Linked DNA regions of Arabidopsis thaliana. The protein of the gene in region 4 interacts with the protein of the main gene of each other region in a pairwise test. Each region holds a gene or a part of one and is shown on either strand. Other genes may lie near its edges.

What was found.
Region 1: the proteins of AGL83 (region 4) and NAC012 interact in a two-hybrid assay, tested with the Arabidopsis thaliana proteins (one large-scale study listed by BioGRID).
Region 2: the proteins of AGL83 (region 4) and CRF3 interact in a two-hybrid assay, tested with the Arabidopsis thaliana proteins (one large-scale study listed by BioGRID).
Region 3: the proteins of AGL83 (region 4) and AGL89 interact in a two-hybrid assay, tested with the Arabidopsis thaliana proteins (one large-scale study listed by BioGRID).

What each region holds. Positions count from the first base shown.
Region 1 is NC_003070.9:11,860,625-11,869,444, reverse strand, and holds NAC012 (NAC domain containing protein 12), read left to right. Parts: upstream 1-2,290; 5' UTR 2,291-2,494; coding exon 2,495-2,681; intron 2,682-2,776; coding exon 2,777-3,042; intron 3,043-3,478; coding exon 3,479-4,102; 3' UTR 4,103-4,216; downstream 4,217-8,820. Other genes in the region: AT1G32763 (Cysteine-rich protein), read left to right, coding at 8,554-8,638, 8,799-8,820. UniProt on the Arabidopsis thaliana protein: Transcriptional activator of genes involved in biosynthesis of secondary walls. Together with NST1, required for the secondary cell wall thickening and lignification of sclerenchymatous fibers and secondary xylem vessels (tracheary elements).
Region 2 is NC_003076.8:21,615,018-21,623,531, forward strand, and holds CRF3 (cytokinin response factor 3), read right to left. Parts: upstream 4,265-8,514; 5' UTR 4,009-4,264; coding exon 2,944-4,008; 3' UTR 2,697-2,943; downstream 1-2,696.
Region 3 is NC_003076.8:9,732,485-9,740,062, reverse strand, and holds AGL89 (AGAMOUS-like 89), read right to left. Parts: upstream 3,539-7,578; 5' UTR 3,413-3,538; coding exon 2,741-3,412; downstream 1-2,740. Other genes in the region: CDC20.5 (cell division cycle 20.2, cofactor of APC complex-like protein), read left to right, coding at 3,815-5,167; AT5G27560 (DUF1995 domain protein, putative (DUF1995)), read right to left, coding at 6,419-6,523, 6,649-6,742, 6,842-6,907, 6,991-7,082, 7,172-7,286, 7,376-7,458, 7,544-7,578.
Region 4 is NC_003076.8:20,070,994-20,078,612, reverse strand, and holds AGL83 (AGAMOUS-like 83), read right to left. Parts: upstream 3,286-7,619; coding exon 2,428-3,285; downstream 1-2,427. Other genes in the region: AT5G49500 (Signal recognition particle, SRP54 subunit protein), read left to right, coding at 1-2, 113-213, 283-440, 531-645, 729-1,057; CP1 (Ca2+-binding protein 1), read right to left, coding at 7,319-7,619.

The DNA.
Region 1 (8,820 bases), on a different chromosome or scaffold from region 4:
ACATCCAAACTTTTGCTATGCTTCACCAACCAATGCAGTTTCACTTAATTATTAACTATTGACTATGTCTTATTAAGTTAGCACTAATTCGTTAATCATTCAAAACGTTATTTGATTGAATTACATATTACACTCTCTTTCTGCATCACCACTCACACCATATGCAACTATAACCAACTCATCACATTCAAATGTATTAATTGGATTTTGGTGCGAGATTAAAAATTGAAAGGAAACAAAATATGATAATGGGATAAAATCTTGAACGGAAACTCAAACTAATCCTCATAAGGTATAACAAAATAACAATTTAAGCTAAGCACAACAACATACAAGTTCGACCTTTTCCTTTGATGATCCAGCCCAACAGTTCTCTTATATCTCAAACCATTCGACCATTTGAGCCAAACTAGCTAAACCTGCAGGAATCAAAACCAACAAAGATTCAGATTAGCTAAACCGGTTTCATCCCTTTGTCACATGACTCACATCCGTCTTCTACATAACGATTTCTAATGATGTGAGCTCTTAACTTGCTCCAGCAAGATCATCAACTTTGGAGCACCTTCAATGATTTAGTTAACATGTTAGATAAATTAAATATTCTTGTTTCAATATATATCAACTTTAGTGTAAAAGCCTTAACATTCTCTTGAATATTTAATTTATTTCTCCTTATTTCGATTTAATGACAAATGTGAATTAATTTTTGTGATATTTTTGTTCGAAATTAGTTTTCAGTTAATAACATACATGTGAGCATGGGACACACATGATTTAACAAAAGGGAATGACGAAATGATATATCAAAATATTAGTATGGGAACAAATTACGAGGTGAAACTTCACACTCAACTCAATTAAAACTAGAATAAAGAAATGGAAAAAGTGAAAGAATGAGAGGTCAAATGTGGTTAATCATTATGTGGTATTAGTTAATCCATCAATTGTGTACCCAAAAGCATGATTAAGCATAGAATTTAGAGAAACAAAACATCATTATTAATGTTGAAACACAAAGATCCCATCAACAGACAAATGATAAGTACAGTGCATGTAGGGTAACAACTTTTATGTACATGTTATATACTTATATTATATAATAAGAAAACGATTAAAGTGTCATTGCTCCAGCCTCTATTTGTAAATCATATTATATCAGTATGCTTAATTCCAATAATTAAGTCCATAACTAAAATATATACACATATATGTATGTTAAATGGTTGAATATATACATATATTTTCATAAACAAATATTGCTAATTAATTCAGTTATTTGTGTACATAATCCAACTATCACCTTTTTAGCTGGAAGTGGATATTCCAACATGTCAGTCTGTCACTCCCACATTCATACTCTCTATTCTTTTTAGCTATTTCAATATCTACGGTTAAATATTAATGGCTATATAGCCTTACCCTTCATTTTAGTTTTTTTTTGGTATTCGCATAACCATCGAATACTCAAACTTACTATGTAAGATGGTCTGAATAACTATTTCCGATTTAAGATGAATAGCTAGATTGAAATATACATGCACTAATTGGACATGCACTAAAGGCAGAGGTGAATTAAATGATGAAATGAAGATGAAGTGTCACACTTGTGCAAAAAGCATGTCCCCTGCTCTTCTCCGCTTGTTTCAATTTCTTTGACTTTCATCACGTTTTTGTCACTTAAATACACCAAAAAATATAGTACAATTAAACATCGAAAATCGTCCAAAAAGAAGAAAAAAAATCATGGAAAGTTCTTTCGTTAATGTTACACACATTATCTTGATTAGGTGACACCAGATATTAGAATAAAAATGATAGATTATGAAAAGAAAAAAAAAATTGATGTATTTTTAGGATACATCGAAAGGAATGAACATACCAAAAACATGGGAAAAAATAGATAACTAATTAACATGGTAGAATGTAGATGACGTAGATCATGAAACGAGTGTGTGATATATTAATGAAAATTATTTTAATATACGTAGCTATATTAGAAAATAATTTACATTTATTTTCTTCTAAACAAATCTATACTTTATATTTACATACATTAGTAAAGACCAAAACACATGGAATTCAAATTCTGCAATAAGTAATTGCAAGAAAACACAAAGATTAATCCCCCACTAAACCCGTTTATTTACGTTAGTATTTTTCCGTTTTATACATTACACATGACATGACATTACACGTCAAAAGAAATATGTCTTACGTCAGAACTTACGTATGATCAAACTCGATTTAAACATAGAAACATCTGTTTACTAAATTATACTAATTTCATAAAGACACTTTAATGCATGAACTTCTTTGTTTAAATAACAATTTCCCCCTTTTGGGGGCTATGTCTCGTCGAGTCCTACCACCATTATAAATTATCTCATCGTTTGCTTTCTTTTTTTTAAGTTGTAACCATTTCCACTCGTAATCATACAACTTCTCTACTCTTCTAGAGCAAAAACCCAAAAATATATTGCTATCTTCGTTAATGGCTGATAATAAGGTCAATCTTTCGATTAATGGACAATCAAAAGTGCCTCCAGGTTTCAGATTCCATCCCACCGAAGAAGAACTTCTCCATTACTATCTCCGTAAGAAAGTTAACTCTCAAAAGATCGATCTTGATGTCATTCGTGAAGTTGATCTAAACAAGCTTGAGCCTTGGGATATTCAAGGTTAAACCCTAAATATGAAAAAAAACTCTTTCATTTCTACGAACTCTCTATTTCTTTGTTCTTTATTTTTGAACCATTTTGGTATGCAAATGCAGAGGAATGTAGAATCGGTTCAACGCCACAAAACGACTGGTACTTCTTCAGCCACAAGGACAAGAAGTATCCAACCGGGACCAGGACGAACCGGGCAACAGTCGCTGGATTCTGGAAAGCTACCGGACGTGACAAAATCATCTGCAGTTGTGTCCGGAGAATTGGACTGAGGAAGACACTCGTGTTCTACAAAGGAAGAGCTCCTCACGGTCAGAAATCCGACTGGATCATGCATGAGTATCGCCTCGACGATACTCCAATGTCTAATGTAAGTATATATAGCAATCATCAATTTGCAGTTTAGGTTAGAATAAACAAATTACAAACTTATAGTCAAAGAATTAGCTAGATTCGTTTCATGCTATAAAAGGTTTTGGTTCATTTAGTACGCACTAGAGCCTTCTTTTAGCATCTGCAATTAAAGTAATCGAACATGATTCTCTGAGTTACAATAAGATAATTTCTTATGAAATTAACACATCATATATACATTTATATAAAAAGATTTTTTCACAAGGCTTAAAATAGTTTAACACGGCTCTACAAACAATACGTAGTTAACTAGTTATGGTTGCATATCCAAAAGAAAAACCAACATAAAAGATTTTTTTTTTTGTTTCAAAATAAAAGTTGCATTTTTACATCATCAAGATTTAATCATCTCTTATTGCATTTCATAAGATCGATTTGTGTTCCATTATCAGGGCTATGCTGATGTTGTTACAGAAGATCCAATGAGCTATAACGAAGAAGGTTGGGTGGTATGTCGAGTGTTCAGGAAGAAGAACTATCAAAAGATTGACGATTGTCCTAAAATCACTCTATCTTCTTTACCTGATGACACGGAGGAAGAGAAGGGGCCCACCTTTCACAACACTCAAAACGTTACCGGTTTAGACCATGTTCTTCTCTACATGGACCGTACCGGTTCTAACATTTGCATGCCCGAGAGCCAAACAACGACTCAACATCAAGATGATGTCTTATTCATGCAACTCCCAAGTCTTGAGACACCTAAATCCGAGAGCCCGGTCGACCAAAGTTTCCTGACTCCAAGCAAACTCGATTTCTCTCCCGTTCAAGAGAAGATAACCGAAAGACCGGTTTGCAGCAACTGGGCTAGTCTTGACCGGCTCGTAGCTTGGCAATTGAACAATGGTCATCATAATCCGTGTCATCGTAAGAGTTTTGATGAAGAAGAAGAAAATGGTGATACTATGATGCAGCGATGGGATCTTCATTGGAATAATGATGATAATGTTGATCTTTGGAGTAGTTTCACTGAGTCTTCTTCGTCTTTAGACCCACTTCTTCATTTATCTGTATGATTATCTATACATACACATACACAAAATATAAAATAAAGTTTGTTAAAAAATGTCTCATGTTCTATTGATAGTACGTCTTGATTTTGGGGTTTAACATTTGTTAATGGTGGAGGGTAATTTTTTTATAATATTTATAATCATAAAATTTACGAAGTTAAAGAATGATATTATATACAAAACTTGAATAACGACTCTTTCAATTGCTTACTAAGCTATTTTAGAAGTCATTACATTTAGTTCTTTATCTTTGACTATTAAAGCTAAAAGATGTCCAAAAAAAAAAAAAGCTAAATGGTAGAACTTTTCACATCCCTCATCTTTCATTCTACATTTCTTACATGCCCACTATTGAATTTGAATCCAAATTATGATACGAAGATTGCCATATTTGTACAACCACGAGAATATATGTTTATCGCTTAAATCTTTTGTATTTGCGAATCATAAAGCCCATAGGCCATAGTGAGAGTTAATATTCGGTAAATTTGTACTTTGGTTCAAACGCACATGGTGAATCCGTATTTTATAAAAAACTTTCTAAATTAATAATGAGTTAATGACAGAACTATGATGTATATGTTAATTTATAGTAATATTATTTTTTCTATAAATTTCAAATCTCAAATTTTTTAATTGTATTATCATTTAATATTTTATCTTAAAACTAATTTGAAAAATATGAGTAGAGAAAATTGATCTTAAAAAAGTTTACTGGTTTGGATATTATAAATTTTATAGTTCCAACTTGAACATTTTGATATTTAAAATAAAAATCTTTTGATGGTGAATTAGAAAGTCTATACTCTATAGAATTCACTTATGCAAAAGATATATATATATATATATATATATTAAATTAAAAATAAAAATCTTTTGATGGTGAATTAGAAAGATATATATAGTCTATTGAAATGAAATGATACATATTCGAAATTAAAATTAAAGATTCTTAGATTAAAATAAAAAACTGAAAGAAGTTTTGGCTATTTTGATGACGAAGTTATAGACGATACTAGTTAATACTATATTTTGAAAACACAACAAAAATAGAGATGAAATCTAACGTCAACTTTTATTTATTTATTAAACAGCTAAAACTAATACATTAATATATTTTGAAAAATTATTACTATTTTATACATCTGAATTTTTTTATTTTACAATATTCCTATTCCAGGAATGTTTTATAATATTTCTTAATTTTGTGAATATTAATTTATATGTTTTACTGTATAAAAAACTAGCATATAACACGGCTATTTTTATTAGTTTATCTGGATAAAGTATCATTGTCATTTTGATGAAGGACTTGTATAATGAATGAAGTGATACTTATTTTGACTTTCATCTAAGTAAAGTGTACCAAATAATAACGCAGCGTAATAAGATTCTCGCTTCGCTATAATTACTTCACCTTTTGGTGCAACTATGTTATTTTTTCATTTTCGTTGGAAAATCCTCATGTCGTTTTTCTTGTGCAAATACGACAATCCAATTACCACTTATCAAATTACGTAACCAATAGTTTTTTTTTGTTTTTCTTTTAATTTTCTGACTAATATTACTAAAAAAATAGTGATGTTATCGAGAAAAGTGTAGAAGTAAGCATATTGGAACACACAAAAATGTCTGAATATAGTTAATTATACGGATCAAGAATCTCGTTAAACGCAAGATAATGGATCCAACTTGGCTCGATTAATGAATTGGAACAATGTCACTAATGAAAGAGGCTACAAGACACGATTCAGTTAAATGCAGTATGACAGTGCATTGTCTTCAAATTGTATATACGGAGACTTGCATTGGGAGATTGAACATTAGCTTGATACTTCAGCATGTCGATGGAAAACATAGCCATCAACATTTTAGCAATCGAAGTCCGAGTGAGCTGATTAAATTTGAAAAGGGCATGGGACATTATATTGTAGGTGGTAAAGCAACCATATACTTCAACCTTAAGTTGTTTCTTATTTTTGCTTGATAAAAATAACAAACCATATATACATCATTTCCCTTCCAATACACTAACAAAGTAACAAAAATAATTAAGATGCTTAAAAAATAAATATTATTACAGGAATTATAACATTCTTATGAATTTTAATTCCTTCTTTTTTGAAAGAGAAATTTGTCTAAAAGATTTGAAAGAGAAACCTAAAAATTTCCATTCAAGATAATTTAAGGGAAACAAAAATTATGAACAAAATTTTACCTAAATTAATATTAATCTATTTTTAAATATTTGTTTTAAATTTCTCAAATATTTTCAGAAAATATATTATTTTCCCAACTAACTTGTAATTTTCAGTAACTACAAATTAAGGAACCCGTTTATACATTCACTGTGAAAAATGTCGTTGAATTTCCCTACAATTACTATTTTTTACAACAAAATAAATTGAGGGTCATAATTCTGTCTATGATCCGAAATTATTGATTCTGGAAAATAATTTGAAACAAACAGATGGTAAGTCATAATCTCACAAACTTTTGTCTATATTGACTCTTTTTTCCAAAATAAAAGAGTTGTTAAATAGTTTTCAAACGTTTTGACAAAAAAATAAAATAATAGTTTTCAAACTTTCTGATTAGGACTAACATTAGCCTATCTATGAAAGCAATCTCAAATTTGGGTTATGCCGACAGATATTCATCACACAGCCTCTTGACAAATATTCGACCACATATCTTCGACTTTATACATTATAACCTGTATAAATTAACATTGTCAGACACAAACAATTTTATGCTCTAATTTGATAATTGTTGTTAAAACCTATGTTTTATTGCCTTTTAAAAATATTTGAAAAATAAAATTGTTGGCTAGTGATTTACATTTGAAATGTGTATTTTTTTTCTATGGGTATAACCGTATAGCATAGCCTACAGGGAAGAGATCGATTCTTTTCAAGAGTCTGATTTTTTTTTTTTTTTTACTTCGTACGTTGACCACCCATAAACATCTTTAACGGCAAAAAAATAATACACGGAATCTATGGGCCATGAGGATTAATTTGGGTTTTGGCCTAAGATTCAAAATTGTTACCAGAAAAAAATATATTAAGTAGTCATAATTTACAACTTACACGGACTAAATAAATTATATCAAACAAAAACCATAAAATTGACATAATGTATATTAATCACTAATGTTCTTTTACTTCAAATAAATGATGTAAAGATTTTTAAAGGCATATCAAATCACTTAGCTATCGCTTTTTTTATCCCTTACAGAAATGACATTAGTATCCACAAGTGATGAATAATTGAAATCACTTTTGTATGTTCATCCTTGGTCAATTTCAAGCAGACTTGTGCGTTCGGAACAAGGTTTCTATGCAAAAGGCTCAAAATGGAGTTCAATACTTCAATTAGTCTCCTGATCTGGTTTTCACATCAATACTCAACTAATTCGTCTTGATTTTGTAGGAGCTAAAATTAGCAAACATTACGTAAAGGCAATTGAAATCAAAATCACAAACATTAAGGAAAGAACATGAGATGAGACGAGTTGATGAACTCTTCCCTTAACCTTTTAAATCACCCGTAGTGTGACAGTTTCTGTGTGATTTAAGGATCTCAGGATACAACCTCTATAAACTGATTTTGCATCACTCGAAACTCAACTCTAACGAAAATAGTTACTACGATACTCTCGAGACTTACTTTTAACAGAAAGAGATTGTTGGAGCTTTTGCTATTGCTATTTGTGTGTAACTATCAAAGACTTCACTGTGTCTCTCCAAGACTTGAAGCATGACCTATTTATATAGGCTTGAAATACTTAGGTTTTTAATTTGTTTCTTCACAAAATCAAGCAGAAATCTAGGAGGTGGATGACGTGAAGGAATAACCACTCTCTCCATGAATCCTATTCTCAAGGAATCGAGAAATATAAGAGACCAAATCTTTCGGTGACTCGTTTTCTCCTTTCAAATCGGACCCATCATATACCGGAGATTTATCGTGAGCAGGCCAAACCATTATGGTCCATTTCTTATTCATACAACTTGATAATACTAAACCTAATTGGGTTTTAGTAAAAAATCAGCCCAACAGATTTATCCTAGGAGGTTAACCTTGGTTTTTAAACTAAAATGGACATTTTGTATGTAAAAACATCGGGTGGATTGATTTACTAACTAATATTTTTTATAAGAAAAATATTTTATATATAGTCAAAATAAAATATTATTAGTATCTATTGAATGAATATCCACCAATGTTAAGTAAGAAACAAATCTTAAGTCAAAATAAAATATTGTTAGTATATATATGGAAGATCCATATCAATGATAAGAAAAATGAATGTCAACCTTGTTTTTTGGTTACATTCAAAGAACCTAATTGTACTATAAATTGAGCTTTAATTAAAATCTAGAAAATCACAGTTTCATTTTCTTTTAATATACTTTTATACTTGATACAACGAGCAAAGACAAAATTAAATGGGTATTACAAAGACTTCAGTGACTTTTTTATTCTTATTAATATTGGCTGCTTTTGTATCCAATTACAACGTATTGGCTTCAGGTATGTTTCTAGTTATATATATGTTGTTATATTCTAAGTACGTTTCATCATTTGAAAGCAAGAACATTGATATGTAATTATGTATGTCTGTATAAATATAAATCATGCATATATATATGATTATATATGGTTTTCATGTGGTGACTTGGTGGACATGCAGAGATCAAACCTACAGGGAGAAT
Region 2 (8,514 bases), 1.5 Mb from region 4:
AAGAATAAAATGGAATGTATTTTAATAAAAGTTATAAATTCTTCTTGCTAACTTAATTTTATGGCCAAAATACAAACTATTTAATATCGAGATTTACGATCACCATGTTAATAATGTGTTATCTATCTAATCTAACACACGACCAACAGAACAGAAAAAAGGGACAATAGATTTTATAATCAACGGCAGATTATGTAAATCTATATAATATACATTTCATGTGAGTAATGATGGTGTGATCATTCGAAATAAAAGCTTTACGGATGGAGCGGTGAACTCGAATATATTTGTCCTAAAGAGATATAAAATAAAACTAAAAAATAGTGTAATTATGTTTTTGAATAAAATAAACGCAGCAAAGATATACTTCTATATGTTTATGTCATCAAATAAAAGAACAATATGATAACTATTATTGGAAACCAAATGAGGCGTACGTATGTCTCTGTCTCGGCCATAACAGACCAAGTGGTAACCTTATTGAAACCCTCTTGGGACAATGTCCTTTCACGTCACAAAAGCGAAGGCCACATTTATCAGTATTAGATTATATATAGGACTATACGTATCTTGTATGAGAAAAATAAAATACAAATGTCGATCGTATTAAATGTGATATGGAATTTAAGGTCTATGTGTGTGCTTAACTTATTTCCACGTAAATTATTTGTTTGAATTATGTCATTTGTCACCTACTTTTCTCCGACATTGACCGAATTTTCAAATGAATTCTATACTTTCCATTAGTTATTAATTATTAGTATTAAGAAATATACCAACCGGCAAAAAGGCAATAACACAACTCGTATGAAGAAAAAAGCGACGTCCAAAATCTTAGTCGAAGATAGTTCAGACCAAAAGAGATTGGAAGATGGACGTGAGACAAAAGAGAGTTACAAATATCAGTTACGTTGATAATTGATACAGTATATTCTTTGTGTTTTTCTACAGTAAGACATAATGCTATGTTGGTTGCAACTAATTTTAGAAATGCTGTTAGATATAGCTAGTCTATGAGCCTAACATCATTCTGGTCTACCAACAGATTACAAAATAGTCTTCGACTACAGTCTTAAAGTTTAAATGAAAAAAAAAAAAAAAAAACTCAAATAATAAATGTGTTTATGTAAGACGGATTTGATGTTATTCGTGATGCTTCAATGGTTTACAATTTATATTGTTGGAAAAATGCAGATTGATGAAGAATATAGATTTAATTTTGAGAGAGATTTTCTCACCTGGACAATTTTGATTTGAGTTGGAGAACGAACCATCTTTATATATTTACTTTATAAATTTCTTAAATCCTAATCGTATTTGATCCGTACTCTGCACACCAATAACATCTCTTACCAAGAATAGTTTTCTCTCAAATTACCAATAGGACAATTTAATGATTGATATCTGTGTTTTTTTGTATGTACGTCCACTTCTTCCTTTTAAGGACCTTCTCACAACGAACTTACAACTAGGTAAGATACTACCCTGTGAATCAATTTACCATAAATATGGAAACATATTGAATTTTAGATTAATTAATTTAATTAATTTCAGTGATATAGAATCACAATCGAACGATAGCAAAAGCTATCATGCAATCTTTGTATAACAGAGAATATTTTTTTTTAAAGAAAGCTTTTAAAGAAGAAAATAAGTTATAGATCATATTTCCCTTAGTTGAAAGACGTTTAGTAAAACAAGGCGATGAGTCGGTGACTTGGATTCAAATGAAATCTATATAGTTACATTCGATACAAAAACAATTACAAGAGCTTTTAATAAAAGCTTAGCAAAAGTTTAAAGAAACGAAAACAAATCTGCAAAGGTTTCATTATTATTCCTCCCTGCCAAGGTTTATTTTTCATTATTCTTTTACTTTTGTGTTAAGGTTTTCATTTTAAATTTATCCATCAGTTGTTAGGTAAAACTAATTTTAGTCAAAGTAAATTTTCCGAAAGCAATATATATTTATCGCATCCCTAACGATCAACAATTAAATTAGACAAAAAAACTTGCGAAACTATATATATTTTTCACCGAACGAGGTGTGTGTCTCACGAATGACAAAATGCATTAGCCTTTGAAAACCTGAAAACAAAGTTTAATTTTCTTCCCAGTGGTCAGAATGTTCTTATTTAGTTTATTAAGATCTAACACACTCAAGTTTCACTTACAAAAACGACCATCATGAATAAAATGTCATATGGATCCCAAAAATCCATCTAAAAAAAACACCTACCACCAACATGTTCGAATTCTAGAACATTGCCACACACTTGTCTTTAGAAAGAGTTCTTGAATGATATTCGAAAATGGTTACAAAAAGTTTGTGATGTGTTTGGAACTCTTTCCAAAACATTTCCATCATAAACATGAATTTCTGATAATGTTCGAATTTAGGATTTGATAGTAATTTTCGGAATAATAAATGATATAATTTTGTGTTCTGTACAATTAATTAATTTACATTTTATTTTGAAGTTTATATTACTGACAAAATTTAAGATTAACATGACTATTACAAGACAAAACACCTCTTCTCAACCAGACCAAACCCAAAGGCCAAAACCTCTCAGTTCACTGGCCACGACCGTAATTTGCGCCTCATAGTATGACTTTACAAAGAGAATGCCACTTTGGCTTTTCTAAAATTAAATAATTAATTAACAAAAAATAAATAAATGCCAAATGCTTTGAAAATTAAACACGTTCGTGCAACTAATAACGCAATTACTTAAATAAATAAAGAATACAGAATAATTAAACTATTTTTCCACTATTTCTCCAAAACTGTTTTACAAGCTCCTGACAAAACTAAATAAATTATTAAAAAAGAAACAAAAAAGCTCATGAACTTATGAAAGAAAAAAAAGTAACACCAAAATTTTTCAGTCACACCATAGATATTTGCTTGATGGTTTCTTCTTCACTCTCATCATCATATTAAGCAACTAATAGATCTGATATCAATGAATCATCAAAATCACTAAACGTTGAACCCATATCTTTGATACTAGAACTTGTTAACTCATCTTCAATGTTCATAGTTTCACCACCCAAGAACAACATATCATTGAAGATATCATCATTTTCACAGAAAATTTGATCCATTGGTTGGTCAAATATTGACATCTCTGGTGGTGATTCATTGAAATAGTTGTCAAGAAACGGAGTATCCAAAGGAAATGAATCGTCTGATTCACCTAAACCGGTATTAAACCCGGTATGCCACCATGGTGCATTTGAAACCCCCGGTTCGGGTTTAGCTGATTTAAACGGTTGTTGTACTTGTTGAATCTCTTCTGACCGGTGATTGAGAACCGAAGTAGGAGATGAGAGATGTTGTAAATCTTCTTCAGTTGATTCAGAACTCGATGTTGTTGGTGTTGGCGTCGTCATAATAACCGGTTTCTCCTCAATAACCGGTTCCGGTTCTTCTTCTTCTTCCTCTTCTTGAGGCGGTATGGAGAAATTAGTTAAAGCGTCCGGTCCACGGAGTCTTATAGCGGCGTTATCATAAACCACGGCAGCTTCCTCCGCCGTCTCAAAAGTCCCGAGCCAAATCCTCCGACGTTGCTCCGGATCTCTAATCTCCGCCGCCCATTTCCCCCATGGCCGTTGTCTAACACCACGGAACTTCTTTATCTGACCGGAGACTGAAACTTTGTTATTAGGACGTTGACGACTCGACGCCGGAGATTGAGTTTCATCGGAGGAAGAAGAGAGTCTCTTTCTATCTTTCATCGAAACTCCGGTGACGACGTTGTTACAGCTAGGCTCAACAGTGATCTCGTTAACGAATCTTTTGACTCTCCGGCGAGGAAACAAGAAATCTTCTTCGTCTTCGTCACTTGATGAATCTGTTGCGTCAGGATCAGTATAACAAATACTAACCTTTTTCAATGACTTACCACCGGAAAGTTTTTCCGATGACTTTTTGGTGTATTTAGTCATTGAAGTCTTGTGCTCTGTGTACTTCAATGGTCGGAAATCAATATATTCGTCCATTACTGTTTCTTTTATGGACTCTCTCTATATTCGCATCAAAATGAAGAATATAAAAGGAAGAAAAGCTTGCGAATCAAGGAAAGTTTCTGGGTTTGTTGAGAGAGATTTCGAGAGAATCAAGAAGAAAATAAAACAAAGTTTGAAGAGATTTATCACGAGATTTTTTGGTAACAAGAACAAAAGATTTTTTTTTGGTGGGTGAGAGAGAAAAACGTGTTATGAAACAGTGATTTTTTTTAGCGATTCGCAAGTGGAGACCTTCTCTAGCTCACTCTTGAAATGCTAATTTATAGGATCTCTTCGGGGTTTTAGCCATAATTATTTTATTCATTTTTACAAAAGTAAACAATAAATTCGAAAACTATATAATATATAATATTTAATATCATTTGATTTCTTTCCTTGTCGAAGCTGTTTCTTTCCGCTCCTCCATCAGTGGCATTTTTCCGTAATTAACTACAAAACTCCAAGGGTAGTTTCGGGTATAAGAGAGTTGTTTAAAAATACGGGACGCCGCATTCATGAGCGCAAGTCGCATGGTGACACGTGGCGATATTAGATATTTGGCTCCTTCCTGTATGTGCTGAGTCAGCGCGTGGCTTCTAGTCTCGAATTTCGCGATTCATGTCACGTGACCCCCAAGATACCCGGTCCCGGTTTTTTTAAATTTTTTTTTACCTTTTTAGTTTATTTGATACTAATAATAAAAACAAATTTACTTACTACTTCTCAACAAATTTTTTATCACTCCACTAGCTTTGACCGACATTAAGTAATTAATGATGATTGTTGAGGGTAACTTCGTCTATTTGAATGCAATTTTTCAACTTGTCACGTACGAATGTTGAGGGTAATAAAATAAATGCGATTTTTTAACTGTTAGGGAAATAAAATAAATGCGATTTTGTCAAAGTTGAATACGTTGTATTATACAATATACATTTTTCCATGTTAGATAATCGAATAATGTTAATTTAGGGAAGATGAATATGTGACTGAGGAAGTTATGTATTTAATTTTAGATATTAAAATGATTTTAGGACGAAAATATCTTTGAATCAATATAAATATGGTAGTTAAATTGAAATGTTACCATTTTACAGCTAGAAGTAACGTGGCGAGCAACCTAGGATTTGCCGCCATTTATAATTCGGTGGTGTGGTACGTCTCTAGGCTTTTTTCTGTACTCTTTGTTCCCTCACTCGCTCTTCCACCACTGCTTGCTATTCGTACTTTCCACGCGCTTCTCAAGTATCTTTTTTTTTTTTTTTTTTTGAAAACTATATTTTTGATTTGTTGTAAAAACAATCTTCTACTAATATCTTTTTGTTGGGGTTTTTACTTGGGTTTAGGGATATCAAAGCTTACTACATCTGTTCCTAATTTTTTGGACTAGTAAAAAAATTATTTTTCTGTTTGGATGGCAATGAGATTTGAAATTATGTTATTGTAAACCAAGATATGATATACTTGCTTTTTAAATAAAAAAAATTATGATTGTATTTTAATTAAGTAGCCATTTTAATTTTAAATTTTACTCTCTCTAGTTCATAAATAGTGTAATTTAGAATCGTTTTTTTCTCGGAAATATGTGATGTTACATTTCTGATATATTAAATAGGAACATTTAAATAACTTGAAGATGTAAAAGACTTTTTGTTGCTCAATAAACATAAACCATGTACATTTGATAGAGAAAATGTGTCAAATTAAAAGCTAGTTTACATACATATAACTTAAACACAAAACACAAACTCTATGCATGTACATATATTAAAGAGTTAAAGACAGTTAAGCCAAAAACAAAACTGGTCTAAATTAACATAGATGCATGATTTAGAACATAATAACATCTTCATACCAACCTGTTACAAACTTTATGAAGCAATCTGCAAAAGACTATCTCTTGCTGCTAATCCGTTACAAACTTTATGAAGCATTCTGCAAAAGACTATCTCTTGCAGCTAATCTGTTTTGATAAACTGTCTTTGAACTCATCTTGATCAATTTGTTGAAAGCCGTTTAAAATCCAAAAATAAATTTAAAGATTTTCATATTATGGTTTCGAAAGTTGAGTAGGCTTTACCAAATTTATTCTATTAATTACTAACTTGCTTGCTTTTTTTTAAGAAAAAATATATCTTGAGTTGTTAAAAGTCGCTATGAGTTTTATGTGATATAGATGGTACGGATTTAAACTCCCTTATTTTATTTTTGATGAAAAGAAAACTCTACATGCATTGAAATTGCATTTTTCTTGCTCCTTTATTTGGGGAAAATTCAGTTATTCTATGATTAAGACCTAAGAATTAGAGAAAGTGATAGATTTGAAGATGAAAGTCCACCAAGCTCGAAACTAGCCGAAAGCAAACAGAGACTACTAGAAGTCAATCCTAAGTTCCTGAACAACGGACGGTCAAACCGGTTTTTCTGATACGAATTTTAGTGACAAAGTAGAATTCAGAACATTTTGCTAATTTATCACAAATTGGAACCATTAAGAAAATTTATATCAACTAATGAATTATTGAATGAATAGTCTACCACAAAAACTATTAATCTAATAATGGTGTTGCCACTGTGTCATCATCAATCTTACGATTCAATTTCGATGAAAAACGTCTATGAATTAGAGACAGTAAAAATATGTTTGATGATGTGTTTAGTATCGATTAAGAAACTTTTCATGATTCTAAACTTCTAGTAAACTCTATACCAACATTGTGCAAGATCTCAAACATCTTTACTTGGGACTAATTGATAAATGGTGCATATATAACAGTGATTATTAGGAAAAAGAAGTGAGATAGTTTTCAAGTCTTTAAAGGAGGGAATTCCATATGGTATCAAACATTTTGAAGGAATATGATCGATGTGGCAATCAAAATTTCTAAAATGTCCATCTTATCTTCCAAAATGTACTTGTTATATACATGTGGTATATCATATACATTTTAAATGACTATATAAGACTAATTAGTAAACACATTAGAAATTTAGCTAATACAGTACATCATTCAGAACAGAGCAAAAAAAAAAAAAAAAAAAAACATCATTTATAATAATACGGAAGAAATATATAACATCTGTACTCGTTAAATATTCTGAAGTATATTTTTGCCTAGTTCACATAATTTTTTTTTGGACATGTTTAAGTCAATAACATTAGTTGTAGAACTAGTTCAGATAGTTGTTTTATTTTTAATGGTAAAACCGAAAAAGCTCTATAATTTTGATCATGATAGTAATTCCTTTTCCCTAAACGTAAAAACGAGAATTAAACAGACTAAAACTTTGTAGGACAACATTAGGTAAAGAAAATTAAAAGAAGGGACGTAGGCAAAATATGAAGCATGCACGTGGGACCCAAAATCTAAAGAGTAAGATAGCTTTGACCACATAAAATAGATACATAGGTGTAACGCATCCTCACACGTCCCCTTCTCTTTTTCTCCTTTTTTCCAAATTTTTCCTTTTAACTTTATTATTTTTAATCGTTATGTTTTCTTCTATTTAAGCCATATTGTTCTGGCGAGCCAAAATTGAAAGTTATAATGTTCAGATTTTTGCAATCTTTCTATTTGTTTAATTCTTTCATGTTCATTATTAAAGTTTTGTTAAATAGAAACTTACGAGTTTGAATTTTTTTGTTTTTATATAAAATTTGACATCTTGGTCAATAAAATTATATTGAAACTTTCCACATTATGAAAATTTGTTTTTTTTCTCTCATCGGTGTTGAATATGATACTTTGACACATCGCTTTCGATATGAAATCTTCAAATACAAGGAATCACGTTATTTCTTTATTTTGTGTGTATGTTCTTTAACGATTTTTTAACCCCAATAATTGCATGTTTCACCAGAAATAAAGTCTTTCAAGTCAATGCATGAAAATAACATTCTTTATAGTTTAAAACGTAGCAACAAAATAAAATGAACGAATTGCTGATTCTTTGCAAAGAAAAATTTGACATAACACTTCGAAACATAGCAAGCAGTACTTTAAAGGAAAACCGACCGCATCTAAATCCTACATATGTGGTTTGTTGGATCCACGCAGATAGTCAGGAAGATCGGAACTCTCTCTTTAACTCTAATCAATTGCTATTCATAGTTAATGGATGCTTGTATACTTAAATGATTCTAAACTGTCATATATCAAACAATCATATCATATCAAAGATAATCCACACAAAACATTAACGCAGAGAAACCTTAAATGATTTTAAGAGTTGTCACTTAAATAACTTCGTGTCTTATATGATAAACGTGTTTCTTAAATCTCATTTTTAGAGAGTAGTGTGTAAACGAATCGAACACATTTGTCACCTACTTGTCCAAGTCAGTCATATATGCTTAGATCTAATTAGCACGTACAATGCCACTTGTTGGTTCGAATTCGTCCACTTGTCCCTCCATCCATAATATTCAGGTTATAGCTAACACATTTTTAGTTAATTAATTGGAAAAAAACACAAGGAAAAAAGAGGCGCGTGGGGACG
Region 3 (7,578 bases), about 10 Mb from region 4:
AATAATGAGGCCGTATATGAGCAAGACGACGTTGAAGACGATAAAACAGATGAGGATGAAAAGGATGGGGATAACGAAGATGGTGATGGGTATGATGATTATCAGGGTGACGATGGATCTATGGGGGGAAGTACCCTCGATCCTACTATTGATGGTAGTGAAAGTAGTGGCGAAGATTATGATTACAACAAGTGGAACGATGTAATTGTAGAAGAATATGGAATAGGGAATGTTGAGGAGAACGTCATTCTCACACCAGGGGAATTCAGTCGTCTGTTGGCAGAGTGTACGTACACAAGTCAGCGTGTACCTGACGGAGATAACATTTCTCACTCGGGTGACCGTACATCAGTTGTGACTCCAAGAAGTATGTGTCAACATGGTTTGTACCAATGTACGTACACTATAGATTGGGAAGTATTTTTAAGAACAGAAAAATCATACAACAAACAATGTCTTATCTCAGCCACTGCCAATATTGGTTTAATATTGTATCAATAAATTTTTCTTAATAATTTAATGTACAAACAAAGATGTACGTATATTATTACACATGTACATACATTAATTTACCAACAAAAATGTACGTACATTATTTCACCATCTATTTTTATTTAATTATTATGTATGTATTGAGATTATTGAGATATAAGAATACGTAATAAAATAGTTTGAGTTATTAGAAATCGTCCCATATACGTTCTAATAAATAATTTTGTGTACGTACACTGTAAATTAAATATACGTACACAGAAAAAATTCGATGAAGGGTATAATTGTAATTTTCCAGTCATCTTCAACCTGTGTATCCTTTTCTGCAAACCTAATTTTGCGGCCGTCTTTATCAGTTTTCTCAAAATCTCATTTTTTTACGTTTTGATTATTATTTATAAATAAATCTTGTAAACCTAGAGTATCTTTAGTTTAAAAAGCTAAAGTGTTTGAATCTATGAGCTTTTTTTTTGCATTTTGTTTATCTCTGAAAATAAGAAATTTGTTCCTCAATTTTGGAGTTCAATAGAGAGATGTCAAAATATGAAGGAGTGGATAATGAATTTTGAACTTCTTTCTACTTCTCTCTCGAATTTCTCCGTCTCTTTCTCTTTTTCTTCTTCTTCGATTTCTTTGTTTCAGTTTTTTTTTTTTTTTTTTATTCAAAACTGAACCACATAAATTAAACCGAAATCAAGTGTTTTGTGGTTTGGTTGCTCCCATTAAGGATATTTTGGTCTGAAAGCAACTGAAAAGACAAACGATGAAAACCATATCTCACTTTGACAAACCATGAGGGGCAATTCTTGTTTCATCCACTTATGTGAAAATTTCTTTTAATTAATTTTATTCTCTGTTATATAACATCTTTGAAATTCAGATATTTTAGGATAGGGGCATCAATAAAAAACTCTGCCTTGATGCTGAAAAACAAGAGCACCAGCTTCCATTTGAATGTCGTCTACACTGAGTTTGGTGAATGTCGTCTGAGAATGAGTGCACTTGTAAATCCTCATCAAGATTATCATCTAGCCTTCTTGCAATGCTCAAATCTTCAAGAACCGGGCAAAACGAGATAAGCAACTGTATAGCTTCATCACTGGCATATACATTATTTTCTAAATGCATGAACTTGAGACAAGTAAAAAAAACTGACCCGAAGTCACACATCAAAACATGATGGACTCTTAAGTACTCAAGTGTCTAACATAAAGACTTAGGGGAATCCCCTCTAAAAATAACCCTTCACATGACACTTAGATCCAAGATGCTTAAGTAGTTAAGTTTACGCTTATCCACAATTTTACTACAGCATGACACAAGACTGGTCACTCTCATTGCTTGATCTGAGCTGGTACAAGCATGAATCCCTAGAGGAATCTAGTAACCTAACAACAAAACTCACTAAGGCATTGTAAAATGGGAATGCATTGGCGTCTAAATCAAGCCATGGGAATCAAACCATTGGACAAAACACTAGTTTTAACAACACCTTCTGTCGGAAGTTGCAACAAGAGCATCTGAATATCAAAGTGTCATGTAATTTGCATATCATATCCTCTTGTCTTGCACTACAGTTTTCGATTTCATTGCATAATCGCTTTTCTTTCAAAAAATATTTCCTCGATTGAACCCACTCACCAAATTAAACCAAAGATTTCACAGAGGCAAGCTCAATTAGTTGTATTATCTGCATTATCTGCATAAGTTATGGATATCTAACATTCAATGTCTATTGTATATGTCAATCCTCCGGATACACTTTACTTAAGCTTGTACAAACATGAATCAAAAGACCTATGATAAGCTAGGAGGCACGTGTGGTAGCTCAAACGGATTCGTTGAGGCTCGTGAATAAGCAAAGAGAAGCAGAGAAGGCACGTGAAAACAGAGCAAGAAGAAACAGATTGTTTAACCACTAGCTTGAGAGTCTAGTGAGTTGTATATAAATAGATAGAAGGTTATTGCACAAGTTATGCATGTATTGATGTGTGTGTAACAAACCATAGAGGAGAGTTAGGAGATCTCTTGAACAAATCTCCATTGTTAGGGCTTGGAAGAATTTTAATCGGAAAATCACAAGGCATTGTAATCTGGAAATTCACCATTGGCTTCTAAATCCAACAAAGCCAACTAATTGACTCAGACAAAAATTGAATTGAGAATAGCATTCATAATGATAATACTTAGGAAAAACATACAATTCAACACAAACTCTTAATCAGACAATTAAAACTCATAATCTAAACTAGAAACAGATCGAGTCAGGGACTTGATAGAAGCTTCCGCTGTCATGGTTATAGACAAAGACTGAATATTTGCTCTGATGGTTACTCAATGGTGACGTCGATAGGTCTTGCTCTGTGTTTGACACACCAGTCACCAATGGTTCTGTCCATTGTTGATGATGATGATCCTCAGGAGAAGACAATGGATTCGTTGTGGAAGAAACCGCACGGCTCTGACCTAGCTCGGTCTGGTTCTCGGGTTGGAGTAACAGAAGCTTATCTTGTAATACCCGTAGACCACTTTCTAGCGAATCCTTCATCTCTAAGACTTTCTCCGACAATTTATTGTCGTCGAGGATCTTTTTACGTAGAAACAGAGAAAGGTTTGTTCTTTTCTTGCGTCGCTCTCTCTCGTGTAGTTTGCTAAACCTCTCAGCCATGTCTCGAACCTTGGATTGATCTTCCGGCCATGTCTTGATGAGTTCTCCGTCACGACCATAATATATGACACAGACTTCGATGTCGCACAGAGTTGAAAGCTCCAAGGCTTTCTTAAACATGGTCTCTTCTCTCATAGACAAATTCGTGGTCTTTTTTGCAGTAGAAGAAGAAGAAAGAGACGATTTCTTGAAACAAGTTTGGTTTCTCACAGACAATTTGGTTTTCTTCTTCGTCGACATTGAAGAATCCATTGTTGTTGTTTACACGGTGAAAGAAAGAAGCTTTAGTTTCTTGCAAAGAGAAAATAAAGTCAGAGAATTGGGATTAGGGTTTATATTGAATTTGTTAAATTCGATTTCCATATTTATTTCATTTTTCTTCAGTAACTGTAATGAAAATCTTTTATTTATTTTTAACGGAAATCTGAATTAGATCCGATTTCCATTTTACTAATATCTAACCGTTGTACGTAATTGACAATTTCTATGTAATGAATTAAAGAAAGCAAAAAACCCTAAAATTGCCACAATCTTCCTTCACTATTCGCTATTCGCTCTCTGTCTCTCTGCTTTGAATCTACTTTACGTTTCCTTCTTCGCAGGTTTTATTTGTCTCTTTGTCATATTTCGTTTAGTCTTCTTCTAATCACAGTTATGATGAACACTTCTTCACATTTAAAGGCACAAGCTTCGTGTCCACTTGTAGAACACTTTCTCCGTCGGAAACTTTCCAAGGAAAACTTCGACAGATTCATACCGAATAGATCGGCCATGGATTTCGACTTTGCTAACTACGCTCTTACCCAAGGAAGAAAACGTAATGTCGATGAGGTAACTTCAGCATCAAGAAAAGCCTACATGACGCAATTGGCTGAGGCTATGAATCAGAATCGCACTCGGATTCTCGCTTTCAGAAACAAACCTAAAGCTCTGCTTTCTAGTAATCACTCTGATCCTCCTCACCAACAACCTATATCCGTAAAGCCTCGTAGATACATTCCTCAGAATAGTGAGAGAGTCTTGGATGCACCTGGAATTGCGGATGACTTCTACCTTAACTTGTTGGATTGGGGCAGTTCTAATGTCTTAGCCATTGCTTTGGGAGACACTGTTTACTTGTGGGATGCGTCTAGTGGTTCTACATATAAGCTTGTGACCATTGATGAAGAGGAGGGACCTGTCACAAGTATTAACTGGACGCAAGATGGTCTTGATCTGGCAATTGGTCTTGACAACAGTGAAGTCCAGCTTTGGGATTGTGTTTCCAATCGTCAAGTGAGAACACTGAGAGGTGGTCACGAGTCAAGAGTAGGATCATTGGCATGGAACAATCACATTCTAACAACTGGAGGAATGGATGGAAAGATCGTCAACAATGATGTGAGGATCAGATCATCTATTGTTGAAACTTACTTGGGTCACACAGAAGAGGTTTGTGGTCTTAAGTGGTCAGAATCTGGAAAAAAACTAGCAAGTGGTGGTAACGACAATGTAGTACACATTTGGGATCATCGTTCTGTCGCTTCCTCAAACCCAACTAGGCAATGGCTGCATAGGTTTGAGGAACATACAGCTGCAGTGAGAGCTCTTGCTTGGTGCCCTTTCCAAGCGAGTTTGCTTGCAACTGGTGGTGGTGTAGGTGATGGGAAGATTAAGTTCTGGAATACACACACTGGGGCTTGCTTGAATTCAGTAGAAACTGGCTCTCAAGTTTGTTCATTGTTATGGAGCAAAAGTGAAAGAGAGTTGCTTAGCTCACATGGGTTTACACAGAACCAGCTTACACTTTGGAAGTACCCATCTATGGTGAAAATGGCTGAACTCAATGGTCATACATCAAGAGTTCTTTTTATGGCACAGAGTCCGGATGGTTGTACCGTGGCTTCTGCAGCCGGTGACGAGACTCTCAGGCTTTGGAATGTTTTTGGAGAACCACCTAAGACCACCAAGAAAGCTGCTTCAAAAAAATATACGGATCCATTTGCTCATGTGAATCATATTAGGTGAATCTACTGTGAAGACTAACAAGGAGAAAACCATTGATAGGTAATAATGTATAGAGAAGCAATGTATTCATCTTTTTTCCTGATTCATTATTCATGAATTTTATATAGTTAATACTTAATACAAAACCAAAAATATATGTAAACTGTTGAGTCAAACAGAACTAGAGTAGGTAGTAGTAGTATATGTTTCTTTATGAGATTTTTATGTAAAACTCTGTGATGTTGATGCTTACTGAAGCTTAATTTGTTTTTGGAAGAACAACTCTTTTCGATTCAAAGATTGAATTTTTCCCCATCAAAGGCTCTGTTTTGGATTTCATTGCAGAACCAAATTCTTTGTTTTTACACATACGCTTGATGTTGTGTGTTGGTGTTTCTGGATTTGTGTGTTGCGTTTTGATGGTAGGTCTAGAAAAAAAGACATTTGCTTTTAGTTCAGTTCGAGTTTTGCGTTTTCTAGAATCCAAAACAATATTAGTTCAAAGCTAGATGAAATAATCTAGTCTCCATTTGTCATCTCTCTTATAATTGGCAAACCAATGATTTATGAAACCTTGTAGATACCCTTGTTCTAGCATGGAAATACTCAAATGCAGAACAAGTTAATTTCCTGATAACCACTGAGTTCTCTACAGTGTACCTTGCCACTTTCATTTTAGCTTTGAACTTCACGGAAGCTGCTTCTTTATATCTGCAAACTCTGAGTGATGACATCAAACAGAGGCACGGATGATGAAAGTTTTAGTTCCTCCCTTTCTGTGGTCATATCCAAATCCTGTTATAAAAACACACACACACCATAAAAACATGTATAACACATAAGAAAGAAACAAAACGTTTCTTATGTTAAACTCTTGGGTCGTGCAAGTCATCACCACCACTATGACGAGTCATTTTAGATTCTGAAGGCTCTCAAGAACTCTAGGTAGCATTTCCAGCTTAGGATAGACAAAGTGTCAATCGCAAACAGAACAAGTTGCAAAACTTCGATATTTTCATGTTATGATGATAGAACTAGTACATAGTATCTGCAGACTGCAGTTTAGGTACAAAACTGACTTTTGGGTTGATTCGGATTAATTTTCTCGACCAGAGTGGTTCACTGAAGTATAGAAGGAACAGAACTCTTTACCAGTACGTATTATACTCTTCATGATGTAATAGCATAGAAAGATATACAGTAATACCCTTTGGTTACATTTCTAATACCAGGACATGTGAATAGTATTACACTGCAGAGAAGAAATCATCTTCACATTGATTTCATGAACCTGTTAATGGATGAGAAAATTCCAGCAGCTTGACTCATTAAAGATGGCCCTTCTTCTGATTTCTCTTCTACTCCCCCATATATTATCTGCAAAAAGAAAACATTTCATCAATGAAATTGCAGCAAAACAAGCTATGGAACTAGGATTTGCACCCAATTTTTTTCATGATATAAGAATTTTTCAACTCAATTAAATCTAGTACTCAATTGACCTCAAGATCCTCTGCATCAGGTCGACCAATGAGTTCTTTAGCGAGTAGGTATCGGCCTGGTCTGTCTTTGTTATCATAGAAGACTTTCCACTTACTAGAAAAATAAATGAGGATAGAAAATGATCAGCTTGTACTCGTTAAACCGTATCTACATGGACTTAATCAAATAAGAAAAACCAAGTCTGAGTCTTACCCAGGATAACACCTGAAAACAGCACCAGCAGCCAGAGGTCTCATAGAGTAAACCGTAGTGAATGAACTAGAAGAGCCAAAATGAAAAGAACAGTTATTGATGTTACGTCAAAAACCTTGTCAAGTCTCATTAAGGATTTTGCCTTTTACCTTAGGAAGTAACGCCTTAGTTTTCTCACGTTAAACCCAACCCCGACTTCCTCGCTTATAAGACGAGGGTTCCACATAATGAGAGGCCTTGGCTTGAAAGAACACAAAGAAATGCCTTCTTAATGTTAGTACTAAAGGTTCTTAGCAAAGTTGAAATTAAAGATTTGACAGATTTAGTTACCGGGTCATCAGCAAGCCCATTAGCAATTTTCTCAACATATTCCAGCATTTGGTAATCAGGAACAACCATGACAATGATCTCATCTTCTTTCTCCACAGGTTTCCGGTCACTTAAGCTGCATCACAACAAAGAACATGACTGCATATTTCTACAGACTCTTTCGAACGAAAAACTATTAAGCTCTCAAGATGTAAGCCAACTTACCTAGCAAATCCGAACGTTGCATCTTTCCACCGGTATTTTAGCAATGCAGCAGCTCCAGCGTCTGGAAATACAGCTTTAACTCTCTGGCAACAACATTTCCAAGCGCTACGAGTCATCGACTGATAAAATGTTTCATGTAAAGGTATTATACAAACTGTTTTAGCTTACCTCACAACCTGTTTCTTTAATGAGAGTCTCCAAGA
Region 4 (7,619 bases):
GCGTAAGTATCTTGTAGCTGCTGAGTTGTCATGTACTCGAAATGGTGATATGAAAATCATGCAAGCTTTTCCAATTGGGCAAGTGGATCTCATCTATTTTCCATCTTGTTAGTGTTGCAGCTACAAAAAGTCCTGTCATATTCATTGGAACAGGAGAGCATATGGATGAGTTTGAAGTTTTTGATGCTAAACCGTTTGTCAGCCGTCTCTTAGGTAAATATCATGGCATTGACTGATTGTGAGGAGTTGACTCAGAATCTTGATAATGTATATGTACAATAGGAAATGGTGATATGTCTGGATTCGTGAATAAACTACAAGAGGTGGTACCTAAAGATCAACAGCCTGAACTTCTGGAAATGCTCTCTCATGGTAAATTTACATTGAGAATTATGTACGACCAGTTCCAGAACATGCTGAACATGGGCCCACTTAAGGAGGTCAGAATCTCTGGTCAAATATTAGTAAGCTAAAGAGCACAACGTGATGCTGATAAGACAAAAATATGAAAATACGGTGTTGGTTTGTAGGTTTTCTCCATGCTACCTGGAATGCGTGCTGAAATGATGCCAGAGGGACATGAGAAAGAAAGCCAGGCGAAGATAAAGCGATACATGACAATGATGGACTCTATGACTAATGAAGGTGAGAGCAATATCTTCTTTGGAGAAAGTTTCTCTGTAAAAGTAATAGTAGTTTTGAGCAATAACTGATTGGTGGTTGTGCAGAACTGGACAGCTCAAATCCAAAGGTGTTTAACGAGTCAAGGATAATGCGGATAGCAAGAGGGTCAGGGAGGATTGTAAGAGAAGTGATGGAGATGTTGGAAGAGTACAAAAGGTTAACAACTATGTGGGGGAAGGTGAAAGGGCTTAAGAACCTAGAGAAAGGAAATATGAGCGCACTCTCAAAAAACAAGAACTCGCAGCAATTGAGTAAGGTCCTACCGGCTCAGATGCTAAAGCAGATTGGCGGCATGAGTGGTCTGCAGAGTCTCATGAAGCAGATGGGTTCAGGTAAAGACCTGATGGGAATGTTCGGTGGCCGAGACGAGTAGTTTCTTCCAGTCCAAAACTATAAACATAGCTACTAGAGATAATGAGTGTTGAGCGAGGACTGAAATATTATTATTTTTTTGGTAGACAGGACTGAAATATTATTGTAGTGGTGAAGTGTGATTGAGAGAAAATTTAGGACATGAAAATATGTGATTCTCCGTGTTAGTTAATCGAGTTTATGTATTTAACTAATCTGTAACTTTATAGTCTATTGGTTGGGTTATTATTGTCGTAGTAGTTTACCGTCCAAATTCAAATTTGGTATTATGTTGATGATAAACATAAAATCTAATTTTCATGTTTGCAACTAATTATAAGCATATCGAATATACACTAAGTATGGTCTGTGTTAGTATAATCGATGATCGAACCGCAATATATTGTTGACAAAATCATAAGCTTGAAACTTTTTCATTTAAAATAATTCGATGAATGTGAGAGTTATCCTTAGATATTTTTGGTATTTCTGAATTGTTAGTAATTAATTAAGGCAAAAATGATGTGGTGTATACAACTATACAAGTATATATATGGGTGCTAACTAATGGATACTTCCCTAATGTTGTGGTGTATACAACTATACAAGTATATATGGTGCAATCTCTTTGTAGTCACTCCAAGTTCAAAAATCTGAATCTCTCAAAGAATTCATGTCAAAAGATAGATGAGTTCGCTCTGTGCCAATGTTTAAAACATATATATTCTTGGTTCATTGTTTGTTTGGTAAGGTTGGAGCCAACGATCGACTACTATATGGAAAATGAAACTTGGTGCACTCTATTGGAGCCATGCTGCTTATACTGAATTTTAACTGAGAAAGGATTTATAGAATTCAGTGTAGGGCACATGCCCCACCCAAGACCAACGTGGTCCGCCACTGATCTTGACTCTTGAGTTCTATGTTGTAAAACGACATCACGTTGGGATTTGTGGTAAGAAACTAAAGCACCTCCAACGTATAGGATTTATATAGTGTCTAAAAACCAAAAAGTATTAATATTTTACTTTTATATCCAAAAAACAAAAATACTAACGTATAAGAATTATAGAAACGATTCTAAAGTTAGAAATTTCAGAGATTCTCTCTCATCTCTTTCTTTTCTTTTTTTTTTTTTTTTTTTTTTTTTAATTATATGAGTTTCTACTAAAAAAAACTACGGCTGCAGTTGGTGTAAGAACTCCAAATTGTGTTCAAAAGAAATAAATAGAAGTTTTGCTTCTTGCTCTCGTGAGAGAGCATATACACGAGAGCATATAACAAAGTAATGCTTAACATAATTCTTCTAGGAAAGACTAATTTAACTAAAGCATAATTGTAAATGTCCTTATTGCATAAGAATGCTCTTTTTCCTAATTCAATTAATCCAGGTCATATACTTCTTCTTCGTTTTGCATAAGAACTCGTGGCTTCATTTTCAATTCGAGTAACTGAAACTTGCCATTCCTTCTCAAACTTTTCTTCAATTTGTGATTTCTTCTTTTCTAGCATAATCAAAGGATTTGGTGAGATTCCAACAATCTCGTTGGAATTGGCAGGTAATTCATCAGGGACGCAACAAATTGTAGTAGTGTTGGAGTTAGGATTTAGGGTTTCATATTGAGTTCCGTGTTGTAAAACAACATCGCTCCTCTCATTCTTCTTCAAGTCCTTGTGATCGTTAACTAAAGCTTCCTCCCCACTCAATTCCTTGAGATTACTCAAGAGCGTTAACATAGAGTTGATAGCGTCACTAATCTCTTGAGGATTCTCCGATTTGTTGAGGCTCTCGTTGTTCCACCAAAACCCTAACCCTAGATTTGTACGAGACAAGCAAATAGCAACGTCCTCTCTCATCTCTTTGGTATCCTCCTGAAGAGGAACACAACGTTGCCCGGAGAGGAAAGAAGAGACAACGGCATCAACGGAGGAGTGACCGAAAGAGTAGAAGGAGATGTTGGATTCAGAAGTAGGAGGAGTCGCTAAGATAGCGATCTGTGCATCGGAGAGAAGACAAAGCTGAGAAGCTTTGCTAAAGAGACCTTCACGACGTTTGGTGCAAGTAACCCTAAGGTAATCGCTCTTCTGTATCGTCTCAATCGCAATCTTCCTCTTCGTACCTCCTTTTTTCACCATTCTGATTTTATCTATTTCACCACAGCGACGGTTTTTGTTTTTGCGTGGAGAAAGATAATTGACAAGTGAAAGCCATAATCTCTCAATCTCGTATAAATAAGGAACGAATCTCATAAAAATAAGAAAATATTGAATCTCATATAAATAAGGAAATATTGAATCTCATATGAATAAGGTAATATCGAATCTCAAATAAAAAAGGAAATATCGAAACCTCATCATCCACCTAAACTAGTTTCGACTATGTACCACAGCAAACCGATATCGTTCCAACAAAACCCAATTCTGAACCAAACCAATTTGATTTCAATCTCTAACGTACGGTTCACGTAACTACTAAATAGAGTAAACCATGCAACGTAATATTGTATGGGCTAAGTTCCAACTATCCACCAGAATCCTTCTTTTTATCCTTTATTATTTTCTTATATAAATAAATTAAAAATATTCGAGAATGACGAGTTGATTTTTTTTTAGAGGAATATATTCAAGAAGGAATTACCGCCAATACAGAAAAAAAGTAGAATGATATTTATGCAACGGTTATAAAATGAAATTAAGCCCAACCAAATAATCATGTAACTATACATCAAAACCTCTATGACAAGACCAACATTACTATGAGAGAGTAGAGACTATTGTTTTAAGAATAAGAAACATGACTTAGCTCTCAGCGATATGAAAAGACTAGAAAAGTTCACATACTGTTTTAGGACAAACCATAATGACTAGAAAAGTTCACATACTATGAGCTCAACGAAATGTTGATTTATCTTTTAAATTTTAATTTAAGATTTTTTTGTTGTCAAGGTTGGGGTTAAGGTATATGTGAATTAATTTATTAATGGATTGTAAAATAAAATTTGAATCAACTAAGGAATTGAAGGAGAACCCGATCGAGCATCCCTCTTTGGCCCAATGATTTCACCTACTCTCTTTTGCTCTTTCTTCCACAATAGTTTTTAACAATATGACTGGATTGGTTAATAGATTTAGCAAATCACGATTAAAAAAAAAAACTAAAGAGGTACCACATAGTTCTCAAGCGTAGTTTGCGCTACAAGACAAGCTCGACTCTATGTTTTTTAAATGAGTTTTATGATTTTTTTGTATAAGAGAAGGTCGTTTGAATTCATTAGAGCGCTAAAATTTTTATTATCTTCAAGTAATGCTTTTTTCCTGCAAATTGAACTTTATTATGTATGTAAATCTTTACAAAAAAGGTTTTTGAACCATATTGGCTGATTCCCTAAATCTGTTTAAAACTCACTAGTTGTGTAAATTGAAGTAATGCTTATCATAGTTATATTTCTTCGAAATGTATCCATGAAAAAAATAACTCCATGACACACAATAAAACCTCAATAAATTAGTATTGCTGGACATTGCATATTTATTATTTTATCAAAATATTAAATGAAATATAAAAATAATAATTATTTTTTACATAAATATTAGTATCAAAATTTGACTAATTATAAAATTTTACTGTGAGATTATAGGAAGATACAAGTGAGACAATTTGATCAATACAAGATTATAAACTAATTTTACAGTATCAACTTGTTAAATTTAATGTTAATAAATACAACTAATTTAACTGGTTGAATATATTAGAGTGATTTATTTAGTCCTCCACAAAATTTAAGAAAAAATATTATTACTCTATAATTCAATTTTCTTATCTATACATTTCCTCTATAAGTTCCACTATTTTACTCAAGAGGTTTCACGAATCATATCCCACAACAAAATCTTGCCGATAGAGCAAAAGTTGTCCAGATGCAATATCAACAAATCTAGACAAAATTAGGGGTCAAAATAACATAAAGTTGAGGTGAAAATTAACAATCTAATTCTAACTTTCACCAAAATTTATTCCAAAATTAAACTAATAATATCACCATGATACATCTTTAGCGTTAAAAGTTTATAGTAGTTTTTTAATGATAACTAGCAAGATGAAAGGTTAGAACAGACAAAGAAAAGACAGTAACTTCAAATATAATTTTTTGGGATTTAAATACAAATGTGGGATAAGTAATACATTTATGTGGTGGCGCCTGCGTTTGGGGTTGTATGAACATTAGAAATTCTTCGGCGGTGCACGAAACAAACCTCGCGTTTCAAGCATCTAATACTCACTGACTCAATCGCGATGAGACTAATGTGATTTACAATAACCATGCGGCTAATCCATTTGCAACTTCAGAAGATCTTCTTGGTCTCAAACCCTTAGTTGAAGGTTTGTTTCTTTATCCCGATCAGCGAAGATTTAGTGACAACTACGTATGGATCCGTGTCCAGGAAGAGAGATAAAAGATTGGTAATTATTTTTTATTGGTCGAGCTTAAAGGTTACTTTGATCATCTTCTAATTTCAAACCGTTCTTCAAAATTTTCAGTTGTGCTTTTGTAGTCTCGATCTCGATCTGGATTAGGTCAAATTGGATTCATCTTAAAGTCTGTTTATCAATTTTGGTTTCAAGATTCTGTGTATTTGGATGTTACAAGATAACTAAGGTTCTCTTTTGCGATTTTGCAGTTGGGGAGGAAACTTTGAACAACAAAGAAATTATTAAACAATAGAGGTTGTATGAACCAAATATTGAATTATGCATTTATGCTGTTCATGAAGTATGTATTTCCCAAATTCATCAACACCTATTGGATATATAGATTCGTTTGAACGGCGATCGGAAAATCCTAGCTCTATACAGAGAGAGCTTATCACAAAAATTTGGTCTTTTTGCAAAATATACGATTGTCTAGTAGTTTCGTGAAGATGTATCATCTTCGAGTTCGAAACTTCAGTATGGCTTAAGAGATCTCTTTTGTTTTCCAACAGAATAATAAAATTATTCAAAATTTGATGTAGCGGCCCATTTTTTCCTCATGTATGTGGTCTTATAAAATTCAGGGTCGACACTGGTCACGAGCTTAATTAACCCGCCAATAGTGATAATGGACTTTTGGCAGATAGGAATTCATACGGACATGACTTTGGTGGACCGGATAAAAAGCTTGGTTCAACATCCCCATTAACTAATATTGGTAATCGATCGACAAAAATTATGTATGAATATATGGCTTAGCTGAAAGTGTATGTTCTATATTGGATAAATCAAATGATTCTATCTTCAAGCAAAAAAGATAAACACAAAACACCAAAATACAAACACAACATGCGTTAACATATTCGGTCGAGTCAGATGATCAAATAGCACGATCCTTCCTTGCCCTTCACGCATGAATGCGGATACCAATAAATCTATTAGAATCGAGGAAGAACATCACTGGAAGCCATGGCAGACGTGTGAACTGTGAGAGAAAGAGACCATTACTAAGAAGTAGCCATATCTGGTCCAAACGGTTCAGATAGAAAAAATCTAAAGATTGAATTGTGAAAAGTGAGAGTAAGCAAAGGAAGTAGAACACAGTTAATGTGTTTTTCTGTCCTTTCTCTCTATACAACCAATGAGAAAGTATCATTGCCTTTTCACTTTCTTTTGTTTTATCAAACTAATGTTCCGGGATATGCCCATATAAGATAGAACCGTTTTCATCAAAAACTTTGATTCCTCTACATGTTCATCACAACACTAAACAAAGGAAGACCTACTCAAAGTACTTTTACGAATCAAAAAAAAAAAAAAAGTACTACAAACATGAAAGTTCTCTCCTTCGAATAGGCATTGGAAGAGTGGTTGCATTGAAAAGATACATGGTGCTAAATGCCAGTTAAGTGATTTATGGGGTTGATATATTTGGATTCAGAATAGAAGATGAAGAGGCATTTGTACTCTCTAGAATGTTTTCAATGTTTGGTATTAAAAACATAGTTTTCAATGATAGTGAAGAAAGATGTACAACTAGTTTTTGATTGCTCTGCTTAAAAACATAGTATCAACATCAAACAAGATATGTATCATTCGTTGGTGGGTTGGGCCCAAAAGACTTTTGAGAGCCGTTGCTGTAAATCACAAAATATATGAATAGTGTTCCAACATTAGTTTTCTCACATTTTTATAACAACATAAAACAAAATCTGGGTGGACACAAATACACTTCTGCAAACAAACAAACAAAACTGAGAAACAAAATAAAGTTGGAAAATGTGCGGTGTCAAAAAAAACGAACTTTTTTTTTCAACACCCAAAGATCTTAAGCAGACCGTCGAACGAAACGCCGTCGTTTAAATCACCACCGGCTAATCGAATCATAGATTTGATTTCATCGTCGGTTACAGCTAAACCAGCCGAATCCATATAACTCTTCAGATCTCCGTAACTCAGTCTCCCATCTCCGTCTTTATCCATCACCTTAAACACATCTTTCATCAATCCATCGTCTCCTCCGTTACCAGATCTAGAAAACGGCGTCGTTTCTAGAACTTTCTCGAATTCATCGAACTCAACGAATCCGTCTTTGTTCGCGTCCGCTACTGAT